3 linked regions of the Astyanax mexicanus genome follow. Each later gene encodes a partner of the first gene's protein in a complex. Links are inferred from orthologs where the notes say so. Each region holds a gene or a part of one and is shown on either strand. Other genes may lie near its edges. The genes, in order: etfb, etfa and acadm.

Region 1 (7,159 bases):
CAGTGTTATCAGGCTTCACTCGGATCTGACAGAGAGAGATTGAAAGAGTAAAATAAGTGTGTGTATATATATATATATATTTTTTTTTTTAAGTTACGATCTGCCCTGGGACTTTTATTATGAAGACAACAATGGCAAGCTAGCTTTTTCTGAGCTGTTTTGGCCGCCAGGTGCAGTTCTGGGCAACTTGATTTTGGAAGGAAGGAGATGCAGAAGGAAGAAAGGAAGGATATGCGGAAGAAAAGGAGAAACTACTGAAGGAAGCTTGTGTGAAAGGAAGTGAGGAAGGAAGAAAGTGCAAAAGTAAGGAAGGAAGAGGGTGCAGAAAGAAGAACGGAAGAAGAAAGGAAGAAGATGCAGAAAGAAGGAAGGGAGGGAGTTAGTGTGAAAGACAGTAAGGAAAGAAGAAGGTGCAAAAGTAAGGAAGAAAGAAGGTGCAGAAAGAAGGAAGGAAAAAGGTGCCGAAAGTAGGAAGGAAGGAAGGAAGGAAGAAGGTGCAGAAAGAAGGAAAGAAGGAAGGTGCCGAAAGAAGGAAGGAAAAATGTGCAGAAAGAAGGAATAAAGGAAGGTAGTGTCGAAGAAAGGAAGGAAGGAAGAAGGTGCAGAAAGAAGGAGGGAAGAAGAAAGGAAGAAGATGCAGAAAGAAGGAAGGGAGGGAGTTAGTGCGAAAGACAGTAAGGAAAGAAGAAGGTGCAAAAGTAAGGAAGAAAGAAGGTGCAGAAAGAAGGAAGGAAAAAGGTGCCGAAAGTAGGAAGGAAGGAAGGAAGAAGATGCAGAAAGAAGGAAGGGAGGGAGTTAGTGCGAAAGACAGTAAGGAAAGAAGAAGGTGCAAAAGTAAGGAAGAAAGAAGGTGCAGAAAGAAGGAAGGAAAAAGGTGCCGAAAGTAGGAAGGAAGGAAGAAGATGCAGAAAGAAGGAAGGGAGGGAGTTAGTGCGAAAGACAGTAAGGAAAGAAGAAGGTGCAAAAGTAAGGAAGAAAGAAGGTGCAGAAAGAAGGAAGGAAAAAGGTGCCGAAAGTAGGAAGGAAGGAAGGAAGAAGGTGCAGAAAGAAGGAAGGTGCCGAAAGAAGGAAGGAAAAATGTGCAGAAAGAAGGAATAAAGGAAGGTAGTGTCGAAGAAAGGAAGGAAGGAAGAAGGTGCAGAAAGAAGAAAGAAGGAAAGTGCAGAAAGAAGAAAGAAGGAAAGTGCAGAAAGAAGGAAGGAAGAAAGGAAGCGCAGAAGGACGGAAAAGGGGAAATAAAGTGCAGAAGGATGAAAGTGTGGAAGAAAGTGTGCAAGTATGAAATAAAGGAAGTTTGGAAGTGCAGAGGGAAAAAAGTGCGGAAGGAAGAAAGTATGGAATTGTGGAAGTGCATAAGAAAGTGCAGAAGGAAGTCCACAGTTTGAATAACATTCCTGCCAACAGTCAGACCCAACACTGCTGCTTGGTCGAGGGTCCAGACTGGCTCTCGCTCTCTCGCTTTCTCGTGATTGAGTGTGTTAATTGGTGAGTAGGTGGTGAACAGTTTGAGAGGAAGAGGGCAGAAATCGTCTCAGGTCAGACTACTATACAATACACTTCATCAGCTGACAGGATCCAGATCAAACAGGAGAGATCTGATCCTGGCCTGGAAAAAAACAATCAATCAATACAGCTATAGTGCAAGGGTCCGGACTGTTCATCATGAAGAAATTTTATTATCAGGTGCTATTCAGATAACACTATTTAGTTAGTTAGTTTGTAGTAACCTCTCAGACCTTCTAGTCTGCTGTTCGTATAGGTACATAGTAGTGCTGTGCAGTGCATATAAATTCAATTTGGTTGCTTCTAATTAATTTATTTAACTTGAATGGGTGTTTTAATGTGATTTATAAAAAGGAGCACGGAGCAGCTGCCAAAGGGAATCTCAGTAGACAGTCTGCCTGTTCCCCAGTGACCCTAAATGCCCTTATGTATTCTGAAGGTTAGTAGTAGTAGTGTAGTAGTGTAGTAGTAGTAGTAATAGTAATAAGCTTCATATGGAAGCTAAACATCAGAATGCATTACAAATGAATGCAAAATACAGACAGAAGAAAAAGGAGATCTATTTATGTGCTGTAAATAGGTGGACAGACAGACAGCTGGCTTAGTAGGTAGGTAGACAGGTAGATAGAAGAAAAAGGAGATCTATTTATGTGCTGTAAATAGGTGGACAGACAGACAGCTAGCTTGGTAGGCAGTTAGACAGAAGAAAAAGGAGATTTATTTATGTGCTGTAAATAGGTGGATGGACAGACAGCTAGCTTAGTTGGTAGGTAGACAGGGAGACAGACAAATATAAAAAGAAGATCTATTTATGTTCTGTGAATAGGAGGACAGACAGACAGCTAGCTCACTAGGTAGGGAGTCAGGGAGACAGAAAAATGTAGGTCTACTTATTTGCTGTAAATAGGTGGACAGACAGACAGACAGAGCTATACAGCTCAGTAGGTAGTAAGACAGGGAGACAGACAGAGAGACAGACAGACAGAAAAAGTAGATATATTTATTTGTTGTAAATAGAAGAACAGACAGACAGCCAGCTCAGTAGGTAGGAAGACAGGGAGACAGACATACAGATAGCTAGCTAGATAGATAGCTATACAGCTCAGTATGTAGGTAGGAGACAGACAAACAGACAGACAGACAGACAGACAGACAGACAGAAGTGAAGTATGAATGAGTCAGGTTGAGATTTAAGGCCTGAATAAATTAATCAGTTGTGGGTTTTCAGTAATCAGATGAATGAGAAGAGTATTTAGGGTATTTGAGAGTGAGTTTAGTGTAGTTTAAACCTGTCTATCTGACAGTAAACTGTCTGTCGCTCCGTGCTGACCTTGGTGTGTGAGTGTAAACCTGTTTCAGCGGCTAACTCCCCCTGAACCCCCGCATTAAACCCCCGGTAAACCCGCGCTCCGCCCCCGCGCTGAGACCCCCGGGGACCGACCGGGCTCTTACCTTCACGGCGTAGTCGATGACCCGCTTCACCCCGACCAGAACCCGCGCTGCCATCGCTGCGGCTAACGGCTAACAGCTAACAGCTAACCACCAGCAGCCGGAGCCTTATCGCTGTGACACCGCGGGGCGGGACCAGCCGAGCACGCCTGCCCCTCCAGCCAATCATATTACAGAACCAGCGCAGCCCAGCCAATCAGCTAGCGAGCTGGCAGCAGCCGGTTATCGCATGTGTTCCCCGCATGCGCGCTCTGACTGAAACAAAGCTCTGAGAAAGTGGGTTAAAGGTTAAATTAAAGTGACTGACTGACTCTGACCTAATAATAATCATTTACCAATACCATGCTCTATATATAACTGTATATAACAGTCTATTTTGCTGTGTGTAGGTATATTTTAAGTAAAATGAACATTGTTGTTTTATTCCATAAACTACAGACATTTCTCCCAAATTCCAAATAAAAAATATTGTCATTTAGAGCATTTATCTGCAGAAAATGAGAAATGGCTGAAATAACAAAAAAAAAAGATGCAGAGCTTTCAGACCTCAAATAATACAAAGAAAAAAACAAGAAAACAAGTTCCTATTCAGTAAGATTTAAGACTTCAGAAATCAATGTTTGGTGGAATAACCCTGGTTTTTGATCACAGTTTTAAACATGCATCTTGGCATCATGTTCTCCTCCACCAGTCTTACACACTGCTTTTGGATAACTTCATGCTTTACACTCCTGGTGCAAAAATTCAAGCAGTTCAGTTTGGTGATTTGATGGTTTGTGATCATCCATCTTCCTCTTGATTATATTCCAGAGGTTTTCAATTTGGTAAAATCAAAGAAACTAGTCATTTTTAAGTGCTCTCTTATTTTTTTTCCAGAACTGCATGTATGTATATATATATATATATATATATATATATATATATATATATCCCTAAAAACAACAAAACATAAAAAAACAATAAAGTAAAAATAATTTAATATAACTTAATGTTATACAGCCACCCACCACTCTAAAGCTCAGCTCACTTACGGTCACTTAACCATTTTAAACTTATAGTTTCTGATCACATTTTTTCATAACTTTTAATTGTTGTATTTTCGTTCTTATGATCTTAGTTAATTATTTTATTTCATTTTTATAATTGTATTATTATTATTATTATTATCATTATTATTATTTATTTTTATATAAAAAAAAAACATTTACATTTACACGTGTTTACTATCACGTCACCAAAGCTGGAATGTAAAGCAATAATAAAACTGTATGAACAGCAGTAAAATGAGGGAATGGCGCCACCAGCTGGGCTTAGTGAGAATTACAGAGACTCTACTCTAGATCATCTGTTCACAACACTGATAAATACAAACTAATTACAACACGCTAAAATGCTTATTTAACTTTGATGTATTTAATTAAATTGTTCATGGGATTCTTTTGTATGTGTACATATATTTAATTTAGAATTGCTGTTTTTTTGTAATAAAAGCAATACATAAAATAAGTCGAAACTAATAATCTAATAATAAATTTAAAACTTAAAAAAGCATTAAAAAACTTTTCCCCATTTCTATAGATTATTCCAATATAATTTATCTATATATAAAATAAACAATGTGCACATATATATTACTTTACACTTATTTTATCTTATATATTCATTACTTAGTAAATGTATTGATTTAAAATTAAACCCTGCCCTCTTATTAGTCTGGCCACGCCTTGTCACGTGACCCAAGTGTTTGTTCCCGTGATCAGCTCTCACTTTCACACACACACACACACTCTCTCTCTCTCTCTCTCTCTCTCTCTCTCTCTCTCTCTCTCTCTCTAACTCTGCTGGAGCTGGAGGCAGATGGAGGTGTTGGAGCGGAATCTGGAAACTTTAGTGAGGTAAATCCTCTGTTCAGAGTGATGATTACAGAACAGCTCAGTGTCTGTACTGTCTGTATTTACTGCTGAATTCACTCTTTATTTAATGTCTTTATGTAGTCTGTATTCAGTCTGTATTCACTACTGCATTCACTCTTTATTTAATGTCTTTATTTAGTCTGTATTCAGTCTGTATTCACTACTGCATTCACTCTTTATTTAATGTCTTTATTTGGTCTGTATTCAGTGATGTATTCACTGTCTTAATATAGTCTGTATTCTATGTGTAATTAGTCTGTATTCAGTCTGTATTCAGTCTGTATTAAGGTTGTATTCTATGTGTAATTAGTCTGTATTCAGTCTGTATTAAGGTTGTATTCTATGTGTAATTAGTCTGTATTCAGTCTGTATTAAGGTTGTATTCTATGTGTAATTAGTCTGTATTCAGTCTGTATTCTATGTGCAATTAGTCTGTATTCAGTCTGTATTCAGTCTGTATTCTATGTGTAATTAGTCTGTATTCAGTCTGTATTAAGTTTGTATTCTATGTGTAATTAGTCTGTATTCAGTCTGTATTAAGTTTGTATTCTACGTGTAATTAGTCTGTATTCAGTCTGTATTCTATGTAATTAGTCTGTATTCAGTCTGTATTCTATGTGTAATTAGTCTGTATTCAGTCTGTATTCTATGTGTAATTAGTCTGTATTCAGTCTGTATTCTATGTGTAATTAGTCTGTATTTAGTCTGTATTCTATGTGTAATTAGTCTGTATTCAGTCTGTATTCTATGTGTAATTAGACTGTATTTAGTCTGTAATTAGTCTGTATTCAGTTTGTATTCTATGTGTAATAAGCCTGTATTCACTCTCTATTCAGTCTGTATTCAGTGATGTATTCAATATGTGTTCTATGTGTTATTAATCTGTATTTAGTCTGTATTATATGTGTAATTAGTCTGTATTCAGTCTGTATTTAGTCTGTATTCAGTCTGTATTCTATGTGTTATTAATCTGTATTCAGTCTGTATTCTATGTTATTAATCTGTATTCAGTCTGTATTCTATGTGTTATTAGTCTTTTTCAGTCTGTATTTAGACTGTATTGAGTCTGTATTCTATGTGTAATTAGTCTGTATTCAGTCTGTATTTTATGTGTAATTAGTCTGTATTCAGTCTGTATTTTCTGTGTAATTAGTCTGTATTCAGTATCTATTCAAGGTGTAGTTAGTCTGTATTTATTCTGCATTTAGTGTGTTCAATTTGTATTTAGTCTGTAATCAGTCTATATACAGTGCTGTTTTTAATTTGTATTCAGTCTGTGTTCATTGAAGTATTCAGTCTGTATTCCATCTGTATTTAGTCTTCATTCAGTCTGTATTCGTTGATGTATTCAGTCTGTATTCAGTCTGTATTTAGTCTTTATTCAGTCTGTATTTACTAGTGCATTAAGTCTGTATTTGTATGTGTAGTTAGTCAGTATTTAGTCTGTATTCAGTTTGTATTTGCTACTGCATTCAATCTGCATTCAGTTCCTTTTTTTAGTGATGTATTCGGTTTGTATCCTATGTGTAATTAGTCTTTATTCAGTATGTATTTAGTCTATTCAGTCTATAGTCATTGCTGAATTCAGTTTGTTTTTAGTGATGTATTCATTCTATATTTAGTGCTGAATTCAGTCTATATTTAGTGCTGAATTCACTCCACATTCACTACTGTATTCAGTCTGTATTCATATTTTCTGACTTTATTCACTACTGTAGTCAGTCTGTATTCAGTCTGTATTCAGTGCTGTATTCAGTCTGTATTAAATATGTATTCATTCTGTATTCAGTCTGTGTTTAGTTCCTATTCAGTGTGTATTTAGTGCTCTATATTTAGTGCTAAATTCAGTGTTGTGTTCAGTCTAATAGCTTTTACACCAGTGTGTCCACTAAACTTTCCACTAACTTGGTGATGCTGGTCATGCTAGATGCCAGATGTCCACTAGATGTGGTAAATTCAGCAAGATAAACAGTAATTATGTATTAACCCTTGTGTGGTGTTCATATTTTTGTTACTCGTTTACTTTGTTACTTGTATTTAATTCAGCAAAATTAAGCAATTTTACATTAAAATGCTTTACACATGCTTGCTTCACCTAAATTGCAAGCAATATAAACAGCTTACATGGTTAATATTTGCTCTTTACCTTTCTTATGTTTCTTTTAAAAAGTGCTACTCTTTTTTTATTAGTTTTTTAATAAAATGTAAAAGAAAATGAATTAAACTCAAGATATGAGTAGAAAATTTGTTTAGTTTCAAATTTACAAATGAAGCAATGTTTATTAGCCCTTGGC
Region 2 (7,909 bases), on another chromosome or scaffold:
GCGGCCGGCCTCGAGTACCCGCGGCCGGCCTCGAGGTTCCGGGGCCGACCGAATCGAGTCTACCTTAGCCTTGGATCCGCTCGTCCCGGCTCCGTTTGGCTCCAGCGCGAGACATATGTGCTGCGTAGCGAAGCGGACCCGAGCCTAGCCATTTTAACCTAGCCTTGCCTAGCCTAGCCTATTTGGCTACGTGCCTGTGTGGTTACGTCATCACGCACTGACGTAGCCCAGCTACGGGGGCTGAATGTGTTGAGCTCTGCGGCGAGATATCTGATAACTGATATCACCGTTATTGAAACATTTCTTATCGCGATAAATACCGATATCGAATTATTGTCCAGGCCTAATATGGATATTTAATTAATAGTTTACAAGCAAAGACTGGAGGCATGCAATGGTTTATTTAGTGTTGTGTTTAAACCCCGACCACTAGATAGCCGCGTTGTACTCAGTCTTTAGATGCCACTGTTATGATTACCTAAAAAGTTTTACATACTTTAAATTTAAATTAAATTGTGCAAATAAAAATTGCAGAAAATGTTCATCACCACAGAATTTAGGTACATTACCAACACCACAAATGTTTAGCTCTAATGTGTTGCTAGACTTGCACATACATGCTGACATGGCTGTTTTTGCTTGCACTGAAATAAAGCATTCACCTTGGCTTGTCACAATAACTACCAACAACTAACCAACAAGATTATTTTTACAAGCATTTTTGCTCATCTCAATTTTACCCATTATTTTTTATTCATTTATTTTTTTTTAGCAGGGAGAGACTATTAATGTGACTTAATATTTTAACATCAGACCAGCATAACACTATTGTATTAATCTTCTTTCATTAATTGTATTTTAACCTTTTTATAATTCATTTCTAATGTCTGAAAATATTATTAAATTATATATTTTTTATTGTTCATTATTGCTTATTTTTTATTAACAAAAGGTCATGTATTAGTGAAATAAGCCACAGTTGACCTGAGCACTTTTTTCACAAAAAAATTGGCTCACATAGCATTCATTCATACTAGAGACCGCAACTAGACATTTTAAAACGAATGAAAAAAACAATGGAATGAGAACTTTAACCAATACAATGCAATAAATACATCAATAAAAATGCAGCTAAACTGCCTAAGTCTTAAAGAAATACTGTAAAGCATATTTTGGTCATACAACAAAAACTGGGGTTGTTTTCAGAAATTTGATTAAAAAATTCTCATTATAAATATCATAACACCTCCATCATGATATGCACCAGATTCTTGCCAATAAACAGCTCCAATGATGGTAAACACATTTTCAGAAATAAACACAGATAACTCCAGCAGAATATTTGATTAGATAGCACATCTGTCTGCTTCTAGATCTATCAGCAGTTCAGACAGGTACAGTTCAATAGTTTGGGAATGTGCAAGCTAAACAAACAAAGAATTAGGTATGAGGGTGAGGCTGGAAAGTTGCACAACTATTACTAGCTAGCTTATCTAAAAGTTTATAATGTAATGTAATTACCATGATATTATTGGAAAGGCTGTAAACAGTGAACATTATCTGCCTCTACATGTAACTGTATATCTAGTCATGTCAATAAACACTGTATAGTAATTTCTGGCATATACTTTTACTTAATAAAAATGTAACAGAATTTAAATATGTCAGTTCACACTGCAACAAAAGCATATGGAATGGGTCAATAGAAACGCTAAAATAAAATAAAAAAACATCCAATAATTTTAACGATAACATTTTAAGAAAAAAAGCATTTTGATAGTGATAAGATAAGGAACCAAAAGTTGTGCTGACAGATCTTAAAACTGAATTTTGAGTAGCTGCACCTTAGAAGAACCCTTAACCTTTGCCCTGGTTTCACCAGTTTTGTTGAATTATCATTCACACTTTCAATTTCACAATTAATTTAGAAACCTCTCTTGCTTGTTAAAAGCAGAAGCCCTGTGTCACCAGTTCACTAAGTTACACTTAATAAAAACAGTGATTTAAATGTCCGTGATTTTTTTTTTCTTGTTGTATTGTACACGTAGTGTTTCTTTTATATTTATAATCATCTTATTTTGCTGTACTTGCTGTAACTTCAGGGAGGAGAGAATCCTAATCAATCCTCTCTATATCCTTTAAGTAAATATGCAGTGTTGACAATAAAACTACTTGCCTTGACTTGACGTTACCTCGTTTCAAAACAACAAACACAGATTTGTCCTTAGACACACGATGACAAAACGAGCTAAGAACAGTCACATATGGACAGGTAGGCCTTAATTATAATTAAAGAAACTTCAAAATACTTCTAATTATCTAACAGCGTCAGTGTGAGATTTCGTAACGTAAAATCTGTCAACTGCATAACCTTGAAACGAGGCTAACGGCTAACTCAGCTAATTTAGCCTAAAAACCAGCCAGCCTGTTAGCCAGTTAGCTAACCTAGCTAACGTAGAAGAACGAAACTAGCTAACGCTAGCTAGCTCACCTCTGCAGAGGACAGAAGTTAAAGAAACTGGTTGGTTACACTTTTACAGTTAGTAGCTAGCGGGCTAGTTAAGTTAGACAAATGCAGGTCCAGAGTAAAGGTGGGTAACCCAGGTCCAGAAAATCAAATCCATCCCAGGGTTTCTTACCAACTCTCTTGGTAACTCTCTACCAACGTTTTGATAAAGAAGCTGAGCTGCAGCAGAGCCACGCACGCAGTTGGTACAAAAGCCTGGGGTGGATTTTTACTTTTTGGACCTTGGTTACTCACCTCTAGTGAGCTAGTGAGCTACGTTAGCTTTATATTAATCTACATAATTCTTTGTATTTATGCATGTCTTCCTCCAAATTAACGCAAAGCGACTTGAGCGACCACTCTACTCTTTGTACAGAGTGTTTAATTCTTACCAGAGTCCTGAGGTTTGTCTTGTTGACAGCTTTGAGCATGATTACAGCAGCAGCAGCTCCTCCACTCTACTGCAGGACTGAACCGCAGAGCTCACAGGGCCGCGATATCGCGAGAGTTAACTCTGAGCTCCGAGACCCGGCCGCACCTCATATCCGCCGGAGAGGACCGCCCACCCGAGCTCAGTGCTGCTGCCGCCGCTGTACGAGTTCAGTGAGGATCAGCTGAAGACCGCGGAGCAGGTTTCCATCCAGCGGGGGATTTAGTTCCAGCGAATTACTGAATAACTGCAGTAAATCGATAAAGTGATCAGTTCAATGCTCTACAGAACAGTTCACCAGCTCCTTACTGCAGTCACGTTTTCTTTCATTTATACCTGCATTTAACATGAGAAGCGTTTTTAATGTATGATTTCTCCTTGATTAGACAAAGACACGTTTTCTCTTAGCTTAGGGTCTATGCCTAAACTTTCGCCTTTTTGAAATGTAGCTAACATGTTTTAATTAAGTTTCATCGAATACTTTTTTTGTGATTTTATTTAATGGTTCTGTCAAGTGTGCTTACTTAATAAATAATATTAATAGAACGGTGAATAGCTTATCTTTATTAAATAATAATGTAGTATGTAAACACTGTTACAGTATTTATAAGATTGTGACTTACCTTTCAACAGTGTGCGATATGTGAGGAAAAAAGATTTTTCTTCTTTTTTTCTTATTGTTCTTCTTGTTTCTTCTTCTTATTATTATTATTATTATTATTATTATTATTATTATTATTATTATTAATAATAATAATAAATAATGTTCAACTACCCACTTATTTTTCTCATGTAAAGTCAGTTGTGCACCTCTTTTTATATATACGTTTTTACAACAGTACCAGTTAAAGGTTTGGACACACTTCTTTTTTATGATTTTGTAAAATTTCAAGCTACACAGGAACACCATCGGAATTATTTTGTAAACAAAAAGAGTTAAATAATACAGAATATGTTTTATACTTTAGATTTTTGAGGACCGATCTGAACACTCTTGCACTGTAAAAAGTGAAGCATGGAGCTGTTCATTCAAGCTAATAAATATGATTGAACACATAGTACAATTATTGACTTTATTGTGAAACTCAACCTTTTTGAATTTTGATGTGTCAATTTTGATTCAGACTAAATTAATTACAATTCTGAAGGAAATAAACCAAATGTTTTGGTTCCACTGAAATCATACTCGAAGAAAAGAGATAAGGATGTAATATTTTTAATTTGAATCAAACATGAATTGCGCATGCGCACTGTGGAGCACGGGAGAAGTTGTAGAGAAGTGCTTCAGAGCACTGAGGGAGAGAGGGAGAAAGTGCCTGAACGCGCTCGCGAGAGAGAGAATGAGAGAGGGAGAAAGTGCCTGAACGCGCTCGCGAGAGAGAGAATGAGAGAGGGAGAAAGTGCCTGAACGCGCTCGCGAGAGAGAGAATGAGAGAGGGAGAAAGTGCCTGAACGCGCTCGCGAGATAGCAACGCATGCTTATGGTATTGTGGCGTCGGGACTGGAGGGGGGGCGGAAGGAATTATGGGAGCTCACCCTGTTGGGGGGAGTGGGTGTTTTTCTGCGTGTTTATGTTACTGTTTATCCCAGAGTTTCATGTCATGTTTTATTATCACTGTTCTAGTATTATTCATGTAGTTATCAGTTATGTGGTTGTTTTGTGTAAGTGCCTCACCCTTTGTGTGTTTTCTGTGTGTGGGAGTGGGGTTAGCTGCGTTGGAGCTGTAGTTAGTTTCACTTTCAAAAGTGGAATCCCATGTAAATCCAGCTCTTAGTGTCCTCCTCAGAGCAAAATAAAAAGAGCAAGAGAGCACTGAAACGAATCTCGCTGGTAAGCCGTCCTCTTCCACGCCACAGTAACTTCTGGAACTTCTGAATATGCTGCCATGTTTTTTTTAAAAGTTCGGATCAATTTAAATGTATTAGTTTGGTTCCGAAACTGAAATGTAAAGAATTTAACTTGGATCAAGGTGAATAATTAATATTGGGTCGAGTGAAGTAATATGGTTTATGTCAAAATAAAATAATCAGGTTGTAACAATTGACTTTATTTAGATTGAGTGAAGTCAAATAGTTTAGATGCAACAAATGGACATCAATTTTTTTAATTTGAGCAGGGCTACACTTTTTACAGTGTGGTTAATCTGTGTCTTCGTGATGTAGAGTCACCTGGAATAGTTTTCTCAGCATCTTAAAGGAATTCCTGGAGGTGCTGAACAATAGTTGCAGCATTTCCTTCACGCTGTGAAATTCCAGCTCATCACAAATCACCTCAAATCACCCATCTCAGTGGGGTTTAGGTCAGAGGATTGTGGAGGACAAACACTTTTTTGTTTTCAAAGTAATTCCATATGTGTCCCTTTATTGTTTTCAATATTTTAATAAGAATCTATAATATAGAAAATACATTGAATGAGGATGTGTACAAGTTGACTGGTACTATTTATATATTTCTTTAAATTCTAAATAAGCCTACAGCCATGAACACAGTTCTGGCTTAAGCATAACTGTTGTTTAGTAGCACAATTTAACATGTACAATAAGAAAAATAAATTGCATACATTTATTTTTCCTATGTTAAATACAAAAAATCAAAATATGTAATTTTTTCCACAAGATTGCAACTGCCTTTTACTTTTAGACCAGACTGTTTTGTTTCACTTTTTAAATATAGCAAATCAAAACAGAGCTCATAAAAAACAGTCTGTATAATTCTTAGATATAAAGAGAGATTGGGAGACTGTTTGGTAGTTGTACTCTAAATAGCTGTAGGTCTTTTAGCAAAAGGAAATAAATTCCTTTTATTTTTATATATATTTTTTTAGAAATATACCCCTTACATGACAGGGAATATCTCAGGAGTGTTTTTCTGACTCTCTACCTAAATTCCACGTTTTTTTTTTTTATTTTAATGCAAATGTTCAAAACGATTTAGTTACTTTTCTTTTTCATGGCAAGCCCATTTCCTCTGCTATTGATTTCCTCTGATTTATATTACATTACATTATATACATTCATATTAACTAATTATACACAACATCATATACTATTTCAAACGGAGAAGCGTGAAAGTGAATAATTGAAGAGCCTGATTGTAAAAGGTTGTTTTGATCTCAGGTTGTTGTGGGCTGAGCTTGTTTCGCGGTTCAGTACAGAGTCACACTATAAGCTCAGTCTTCAGAAACATTAGAGGTGAGAGTGCTGGAGATCTGAGCGGCTTTGATTGGATTTGAGAGGGCGGGGTGAGTTAGGCTTGTTTTAAAAGACATCTCTCTCCCACCCTCTGTTCCTCCCTCTCTCACTCACTCACTCATGCTCACACCCATACGCGGCAGTGGTCTTGTCCTCCACTTTCAGAAGAGATTTGTTAAGAGTAACATTCCGTTTTCGTTCCCTCGCTGGTTTGCCTCTTTTTTATCATTTGTAAAGGAGTAGTTTCAATTTTTTTAATATTTTGTATTTTTGGGTCTTTTCTCTTCTGATTGTTGACGAAAAAATAAAATAAAAGATCTGTACGTTTTTAGTTCAACATTTAAAGTTTTTGTCTTTTAAGCTTAGTGTTTTGCAGCGTCTCTAAATATTATTGACTATAGAACATACAAGATAGATAGATAGATAGATAGATAGATAGATAGATAGATAGATAGATAGATAGATAGATAGATAGATAGATAGATAGACAGACAGATAGATCATCTTAAAAAATACATATTTCAAAAAAAAATATGGCTCGTAATGGTTCTTTACGATTTAAAAGCTTTTTTAAACTTAACTTTTACAAGCATGGTTCATTATTGAGCCAAAAGTGATTATTCTATAGCATGTATCAAATCAAACCATTTGCAGCACATTTGCTTTGTTAGAAGACTTTTTATTTTATTGTAAGAATGCATAAAATCATTTTTTAGGCGACAAAATTTTATTTTATTTTTTGTATGTATCTTTTTTGTTTGTGTGTAAAAAAAAAAAGAAAGAAGATATTCTCTAATGTAATGAGACACGCTGTGGTGGAGATTATAGATGGGATTGATCTGAGTTAGGGTCGGTGTTAAAGGTCAGGTTGAAGAGCACGCTAAAGGAAGAGCGACCCTCTGCCCGTTCTGGAAACATCTTGAAAAAATAATCCGTACAAATAAATCAGGAAACTTAACTCAAACGCAGTTTCTTTACAAATCCCCACAGGTCCGCTTCTAATGTCCAAATAATTCATGTGTGGATTGTGGAGGAAATAATTGTACAAATAATAAAAATGATGAGCGATGTAAATACAGACTTTAAACAGTTCAAATATTGAGGGAACGAAGGTTCGCTTCCACGCGTTTAATCAGAGACAGAGAGTAAATCAGTAAAACTGGGTCTGTATGTAACTGTATGTAGTGTAAATGAACTAAAGATCATTTACAGGAAAAAATGTAAATTATATTGTTCTTTTAAGATGTTCATTTAAAGAACAGTGTGATGAAAGTGTCAGAGAAGTGTAACAGTCTTTTCCGTTCTGATAAATTAGATTAGATAATTAGATTAAATTAGATTAGAATTAGAGATTTAGAGAGAAATTTAAATTTCAAATCTGTTTATTTTCTGCTTTATTCTGATCTGAATAAAGGTTTAAACTGAGAATGCACAATGTGAAAATGCGACGCGATGTGTAAAGGCTGGAGAGGAGGAGTGTGTGATGTGATTGTGTGTCCAGCAGGGGGCTCTGCTCCAGAGCTCAGCCACTGCCAAGTTTGGACAGAAGGAATTAAATACATATTTTTTATTTTAAAAAGCGGAGAATTTAAGAGCGTCTAAAATGTTCAAGCTGTTAGATATGTGCATATTCGATCTCTTTTTTATTCGAGCATCTCTAGATGATTTTGAGAAGGAATTAGATATTTTATAATTAAATAAGCGGATGTGTCAGGTTTTATTCTGAGTCCACTTGGCGTAAATTACTCTGTAGGTAAAATCACTCTCGTGGCCGAAAAAAA
Region 3 (7,270 bases), on another chromosome or scaffold:
GAATAACAGAGCAGCTCGGATCAGATAAACACTCAACACTTACTCCCAGAGAGTTGGCCTCAATAGCCGTCTGGACTCCTGTGCAGCCGTAGGCCAGCTCCTCTGTGATCAGGCAAGCATCGAAACTGGACAGACCCAGTCCCCCTGAAACAGAGACCATATGACCAGTTACCAACCAGAACTGATCTGGAGCTCTATTAGATTCTGTGTTCCAGCGGGTATATCTGTGCAGTGTGAAGCTGCTTTAATACAGAACCCTGAAAATTTGCCTCTGCACTTAGTAGTGAATGCAGCACAGACTGCGAGTGTAAACAGCATGGAGCAGCAAAGACAGTCCTTATTCATAGCTGTGGTAATTAACATTATCTGGCTAATATATCAGATTAAACTGCACCTTATCAGCAGTTTAGCTCAAATAAAAGGAGTATATTTGATAGCTGCGTCGGATCAAGACCGGATTCTGTTCTCACCACAAGCGAACCTCTCCAGAGTTCGTTTGGGATCAGACCAAGACCTCCTCCTCTGGCAGTTTTGCTGTGGTTTTGTTCCACACCAGAGTACTATTACTGTTTTTACACCTGCTTAATCTGCTTAAAAGGGTTTTATAGGATCTACACCTGTAGTCTGTATACAGGCAAAGGCCTGTTAAAAAGGGTGTCGCCTGATAAAGTGGACAGAAACCATATTTACAATATACACAGACGTACCGCAGTCCTCAGGAATGTGACTGTTGATCAGACCGAGCTCCCACGCCCTCCTGATTAGCGGAACCGGATACTGCAGCAGAGGAGACGAGAGGATTAACACAGAATTATTTACTACTTGAATATTAATAAAAGCTAAACAGCTTAAAAAAATAGTGAAAATCATTTAGTATTCAGGTTTTGGCCATTTTTTTTTTTCATTTTGTCTGGTTTCGGCCAAAACGTTTCATTTCATTACATCTCCCATTTAATGGAACTAAACAAAATCAAAGATCATATTTCACAAACTCACTTCACCACTTTTGTCGTACTCCCCAGCGACCGGCAGGATCTCCTCTCGTGCAAACTTCCTGGCTGTTTCCTGGAATTCCTTCTGCTGGTCAGTTAATTCTGTTGATGATCACAGAAAATAGAATTAATTCTACTGTATTTACCAAACACAGACACTCACAGGGGTCGACCAGTCGTGCTGTGCAGTCCGTCCACGTACCGAAGGAGATTCCTCCATGTGACGTTTTCGCTGCACTGGCCGCTCGAGCTGCAGCTCCACTGCTCTGAAACCGCAGACCCGTCTGAACCCCTGTCTGCAGAACCTGCGCACACACAGAACATACAACAAAATTCAATATTAATCACTCTATAGTTTTATTCCAGATCACGTTTGCAAAAAACTCAGACATTGAGTCACTCCTCTCACAGAGTTCGCCAGAAAACATATTTTAGTTCAACATAGGTCTGCAAATAATCATTTTGGTATCTGACTAATCTGAAGGTTATTTCTGCAATCAATTAACTAATTAACGATTATTATTTACCTAAACAAATCATCAATGTGTTTCTGTCCACAGCAATTTGTGTGGTAGACACTGAAATTCAAACAAAATCCTATTTTCTTTCAATTAACATTTTCAATTAGTCCAACTCATCATCACTGCAGCCCTAGTTCAATGACTGTATTATTACAACACTAATCCTGCAATTCTGTTACAGCCTAATAAAGAACCCAGTCCCTCACATGCAGCTCTGTGAAGAAAAACACAGCCAAAGAAGCACATACAGCTCACTAGCTAATGCTAGCCAGTTAGCATAACAAGCTAACACACTGGAGTGACCATAGCTTAGCTCAGCTCTTGATTCAAAAGCTCATCTAGTGATGTCCTGCCTGAAGAAAAATGAGAACAGCACTTTATCTGAGGAGCTCCTGCTGCTGCTCCTCACTGTATTATCAGTAGCCTCCTTTTAAATGCCAGAGCTCTAACAAAGAGGTGTGGAGCGGTGTAGTGGAGAACGGAGGTGTGCAAGTCATCAAATGTAAATAATTTATCATGTTTTTCTACACAAAAATTCTTACTGTGACAGGTCTAACCCTGTCCTTCACTTTGAGTCATTAAGTTCCTAAGCGACATATGGCTACTAAACATCCTGAGAGCATCACAGCACAGTGTGTGGGTGTGTATTTGTTTATCTGACCTTATTTCCAGAATGTAGATGTGTTGGGATAGTGCTGTAGGATATAACTAAGCTCTCCTTTAAAAAGTATATTTTTGATTCTACAGTTGTGTTTCAAACATTTTAACATGTAACCAGTTCTGATCTGATTTGAAGAACAGAATGTTGAAAAATATATATATTTGAAATTGTTGTTAAGGACTTTAACTTAATACATACCGTCATGTGCCCACATTAATTAAAAAACGTGCATGAGCAGCTCAATGATTTTATCTGATTTCATTTAGAATTTTGCATCCATATTCAGAAATATTTATGTTTTTTTCATGGGTTAATAACAACAATAACTCACAGATAATAAATAACTGTGCATCAATTTAAACAAAACACCGAGCATTATTACTCTCATTCTCCCGTCCACCTTAAATAGAGTGCTCACATTGTGGCGTATGTTGCTTTACAGTGTAATATGACTACCTATGTGTTTATTCATCGTTGTGAGCCATTTTTAAAGACAATAACGAAATACAAACCAGACGTAAATCTGCAATAATTCGAATTAAACACAAAAACACCTTAATATAAACCCCAAACTCGACCAGAACAGCTGCACTATTTAAGGTGGAACGGACTCTTGCAAAAACAAGGCGGTAGAAACGAAACTATACTAAGCTTAACCACAAAGCAAAGGCTGCAGAATCTGTTTAAAAGCAATGAAATAAATATATAAAACTCTACCTTTCTGAAAATCAGCATTTTTTTGTGTATTTGTTTATATTGTAATAAGAAATCCGGATCCTTGGGAGTCGCGTCCTGTGCTCTTCGCCCTACAAAAAGACTCTCCAGGCAGACAGCCAATCACAGCCAAGGATGTTTGTCACGTGATCATGTGCCGGGACGTCGGCTCTCTTCGACTACTTTACTTCCAGCCAATCAAATACGGGGCTTTGATCACGTGCTCTGATCCGGCTCCGCCCCCTGTGACCTTAGCCCCAGTTTTATTCTGGCCTACATTGATAGTTGTGTAATTCAGAGGTTATTTAAATTAAAACATTAAACATAATTTATATAGTGCTGAAATTTTACATGTGTTAACATGGACAAATCTGCAGGACTATTATATCTGCGCTTGAGGGTGAGGCTCATTATTGAGTATTTACGAGTAAACCTTTAGAATATAAGAAAATATTTTTTACTTTTTACCTTTTACTTTTTTAATAATAATAATACTGGGTCATTTTTGATTGGAAGGCCATAGACAACAAACAATAGCTTGTGTATTTTAGGACAATACCAAAAATGCAGTTAGGCAAGTTTTATAACAACTGACACATGCAGGTAACCATGAAACTATTCATAAATAGACAAATGAGGAAATACCAGTTCATCAATTCATAATCATAAAATTTCATTAAATTTATATGAATAAAATTAATTGTTTTCAAAATTATGAATATTCATGGGTACACATGGATATTTTGAAACAGATTCTTCATTAGTTCTCTCCAAAATTGAATAAAGGTTCTTCTCCCATGTAAAAAGGAAAGCGATAGCTTTATATCACACTTCATCTTCTCATCTATCTTAGAAAATATGACAAAAATGCAACAAATGTTTGTAACCATTGGTGATTCACATTAGTAAAAAAGGTAAAGCAGCATTTTATACATGTATAAAGATTCAAGATTCACAGCTCCAAATCCATAATTGTGGAATCATATGGAAAAAGCAAATAATAAAAAAGGCAGTGTTTCTTACATATTCTTTACTGAGTTACTATATTCACTAAGGATAGCAAGGGATGAAGTGTTTCAGGAGGTATCCCCCATAGATCACTGTGACATACCACACAGTTCAAATAAGAAAATACTGTGTGAAGCTCTGCTGACAAAAGCTGCAAGTGCATTAACTCATATTATAATAATAATGGACCTTTAATGTTGCATCACAGAAGTGTACTGATACGCCCTCATGCAATAACAGACCCTGACGTTTGGACTTGTTGCTGAGAACAGTCTGGAAGCTCCTTTTAAACTCCAATTCTGACTCATTTGAGCACAATACACTTTCCACTGTGGTATTAGTGAATATAGTAACTCTGTATTGTAGAGCTTGTTGTTGGTGATAAAGGTCATGGTGAACATAATAAGGCTTGTGTTGTGTACAGTAAAGTTTTAAGTGTTATTAGTGCCAAAACATCATATAATTGTTGTGAGAAGAAATGGCAACATTTCAAGGTAAAGTAAAGTAAATGCTTTAGTGTCCCAACTGTTTTTGGTTAAAATAAAAGTCAAAGTAAAGTAAGAAATACTTCACTTTAATTTTATGAGACTTTTCATCCTGTCCATCAGTTGCTGTCCATGTAGGTTTGGGGGGTCCCACTGTTTTTCATGTAGGGGTCTTAGGCTGCGTTCACATTACAAGCCACATTGCTCAAATCCGATTTCTTTTGCTCAGATCGGATTTGGCTATTCTGACGGTTCACATTCACAAATGTAAGTGATCAGTATCTGTGTGTAATGGGAACAAGCTGTCCCTGAAACGGCTTACATTCACAAATTGATACCTGTTTAAACGTCGCCTTCTTCACCACCAACAAAAAAAAAAATCATATTTGAGAGAGCTTCCTAGCTTTATAAAGGGAAATGGATGAGTCAGCAGCTCATATGTGAAACATCTTTTGCTGGAGTGGAGAGTAAACAGCTGATCTGATGTCGAGGAGGTAAAAAGAGATCAGGTGGTTTGCTTTTGCTGTTTTTGCAGCTATAGCTGCACAGCTGCTCAAGAGATGTGTGGGTACGAGAGAGAGGCACGTAGAGCTAATGCTAATGCATAAAGCAAAAAGATGCATGAATTCCGAATTGACAGTTCACATTCATGTCGCATGTCCATGGATCCGATACGTATCCGGTTTAGGACCACATATGAAAGTGACTCAAATCTGATTAAAAAAACAAATCTGATTTGGCACGTTCACACAGCCATTAAAAAATCATATCTGAGCCACACTGAGCAAAAAAATCAGATTCGAGTCACTTCAGCCTGATAATGTAAACATAGCCTTAGGTACAGTACGAGTGTGTATATGCTGTGTAAGGTTGGGGTGTAGCTGCAGTAACAGACATGACCAGCAGAGGTCAGCACACACTCACTCCAGCGCCTACAGCGCCCCCTGCCGGCCGAAATGGTTTGTAGCAGGCTCCTCCTACAGGTTCACTTCAGTGAATGAAGAAGAGTTGGGTTCAGTTAAACGAACCGATTCTTTACCAACTATCCATTCAATGAAACTTTTTTTAATATAGAGCTCTTGTACTTTCACTCAAGTCTAGCTCTATAGTACTTTATACATTCCAATAATGATATTTTGTTTTTTTTATATTAAATAAAATAACTTGACTAATTACAAATCAATTTCATTCATTTACTTTAATTAACTATAATTTAAAAAGAAATGTACTAACAAATTGTTCATAATAAGTTTATAATTAAGTACTAATTATAATTTACATTGCTTTAAATATGTATTAACTTACAATTTGTTTACAGGTTTATAAAATAGTTTTTAAAGTTTATAATATAGTTTAAATTGTAAATAACATTACTTTAAAAAAAATGAAGGCAACAGATTTCCTCAGATTATTTAATTACATTGATTTTACAAATGACCTGAATCGCTCCGATTCACTCACTGATTCTGTTCTAAGGACTCGGTCTAGATAAGCCGATTCGCGGGTGACTCTGAGTCGGATCGGGATTCGTTAGCCGGTGTGACAGATGCTAGCTGTGGGGCTAACGCTTAGTAACTGCTACCTGGAATGTTCCGCGGTTCCGGGGGAGAATAAGCGCTGATTTCCGCGGTTCCGCTGATCCTCTGTTCGGTAGAAGTTTCTGGAATTCCCGCTGAAGAGCGGGGGAGAGAAAGGGGGAGGAAAAGAGGAGAAAGGAGGGATAAATAGCGCTTTTCTGACTGATCTCTAACTCCGTGTTGACATTACCAGACTCGGGCTGGCGGAGCGAAAGCGAAGCGCAGCAGCAGCGGAGAGAGAGCCATGTCTCCCGGGCAGAACCCGCACACTCTGCTGGGGCGGATCCGCTTCCTGAACCGCTGCACCGAGTGCTTCAGGACCGGAGAGCCGCTCCCGGAGAGCCTGTGCTTCGTGCCGCGGGAGGTGTGCTATAAGATCTGTAAGGACTCGTCCAGCAACTCCGGGTCCTCGTCTGCCTCCTCTTCAGCTGGAAACTCTGGAGGAAAGACCCTGGTTCCGGTCTGGGACCACCCGAACCAGCCGCCCACCAGGAAGACCGCCCGGTGCACCATCGAGCCCAAGAAGGGGACCTGCATCCGAACCTCCGGGGAGGAGTACTACAACAGCCACGGCCTGTGGGTCAAAATCAGCAAGGTAAACCTCCACCAGAACCAGCAGCTGAACCCACTCAGTTACCCATTTACTCAATCCTTAATCAACCCTTATTTACTCACCACTTACTTCAATAAAATCTACTCAAAACTCTTATTTACTCCACTTTCATTTTCTCAACTCTTATTTACTCAGTCCTTATTTACTCACCATTCAATTACTCAATTCTAATTTACTTAACCCTTAAAATCTACTTAAAACTCTTACTTACTCGACTCTCGTTTACTCAATTCTCAAAATAAACTCCAAACTCTTATTTCCTCAACTTTTATTTACTCACCCCTCATTTACTTAATTAATAAAATCTACTCAAAACTCTTATTTACTCCACTTTCATTTTCTTAACTCTTATTTACTCAGTCCTTATTTACTCACCACTCATTTACTCCCTCCTTAATCAACCCTTATTTGCTCGACTTTTATTTACTCACCATTCATTTACTCAGTGCTTATTTACTCACCACTCATTTACTCCCTCCTTAATCAACCCTTATTTGCTCGACTTTATTTACTCACCACTCATTTACTCCCTCCTTAATCAACCCTTATTTGCTCGACTTTTATTTACTCACCATTCATTTACTCAGTGCTTATTTACTCACCACTCATTTACTCCCTCCTTAATCAACCCTTATTTGCTCGACTTTATTTACTCACCACTCATTTACTCCCTCCTTAATCAACCCTTATTTGCTCGAC

The links.
Region 2: the proteins of etfb (region 1) and etfa are in contact, whole or in part, in a crystal structure (PDB 2A1U), measured with the Homo sapiens proteins. The link is inferred for Astyanax mexicanus from reciprocal best matches to the Homo sapiens genes ETFB and ETFA. Residues at the interface, in NP_001976.1 of Homo sapiens: Ile14, Tyr16, Val18, Ile20, Val22, Val29, Thr31, Phe41, Leu102, Arg106, Lys124, Gln125, Ile127, Asp128, Asp129, Asp130, Cys131, Asn132, Gln133, Gln136, Met137, Ala139, Gly140, Phe141, Asp143, Trp144, Pro145, Gln146, Thr148, Phe149; in NP_000117.1 of Homo sapiens: Glu27, Leu88, Pro89, Glu90, Ser113, Ala114, Phe115, Lys117, Asn118, Pro121, Arg122, Ala124, Ala125, Lys126, Glu128, Val129, Ala130, Pro131, Ile132, Ser133, Arg146, Thr147, Ile148, Tyr149, Ala150, Gly151, Asn152, Ala153, Leu154, Cys155.
Region 3: the proteins of etfb (region 1) and acadm are in contact, whole or in part, in a crystal structure (PDB 2A1T), measured with the Homo sapiens proteins. The link is inferred for Astyanax mexicanus from reciprocal best matches to the Homo sapiens genes ETFB and ACADM. Residues at the interface, in NP_001976.1 of Homo sapiens: Glu73, Arg76, Thr77, Tyr192, Ala193, Thr194, Leu195, Pro196, Ile198, Met199, Lys202; in NP_000007.1 of Homo sapiens: Glu43, Gln44, Lys46, Glu47, Phe48, Thr51, Lys54, Phe55, Glu58, Glu59, Arg80, Glu83, Leu84, Gly85, Leu86, Leu98, Leu100, Ile108.

The regions. Positions count from the first base shown.
Region 1 is NC_064408.1:120,899,004-120,906,162, reverse strand, and holds the start of etfb (electron transfer flavoprotein subunit beta), read right to left. Parts: upstream 3,090-7,159; 5' UTR 3,010-3,089; coding exon 2,956-3,009; intron 26-2,955; coding exon 1-25. Other genes in the region: upstream stimulatory factor 2, read left to right, coding at 4,810-4,847. UniProt on the Homo sapiens protein: Heterodimeric electron transfer flavoprotein that accepts electrons from several mitochondrial dehydrogenases, including acyl-CoA dehydrogenases, glutaryl-CoA and sarcosine dehydrogenase.
Region 2 is NC_064409.1:55,937,952-55,945,860, reverse strand, and holds the start of etfa (electron transfer flavoprotein subunit alpha, mitochondrial), read right to left. Parts: upstream 3,024-7,909; 5' UTR 2,938-3,023; coding exon 2,899-2,937; intron 1-2,898. UniProt on the Homo sapiens protein: Heterodimeric electron transfer flavoprotein that accepts electrons from several mitochondrial dehydrogenases, including acyl-CoA dehydrogenases, glutaryl-CoA and sarcosine dehydrogenase.
Region 3 is NC_064425.1:41,682,456-41,689,725, reverse strand, and holds the start of acadm (medium-chain specific acyl-CoA dehydrogenase, mitochondrial), read right to left. Parts: upstream 3,021-7,270; 5' UTR 2,910-3,020; coding exon 2,892-2,909; intron 1,298-2,891; coding exon 1,195-1,297; intron 1,095-1,194; coding exon 997-1,094; intron 778-996; coding exon 708-777; intron 145-707; coding exon 44-144; intron 1-43. Other genes in the region: E3 ubiquitin-protein ligase HECTD3, read left to right, coding at 6,203-6,553. UniProt on the Homo sapiens protein: Medium-chain specific acyl-CoA dehydrogenase is one of the acyl-CoA dehydrogenases that catalyze the first step of mitochondrial fatty acid beta-oxidation, an aerobic process breaking down fatty acids into acetyl-CoA and allowing the production of energy from fats.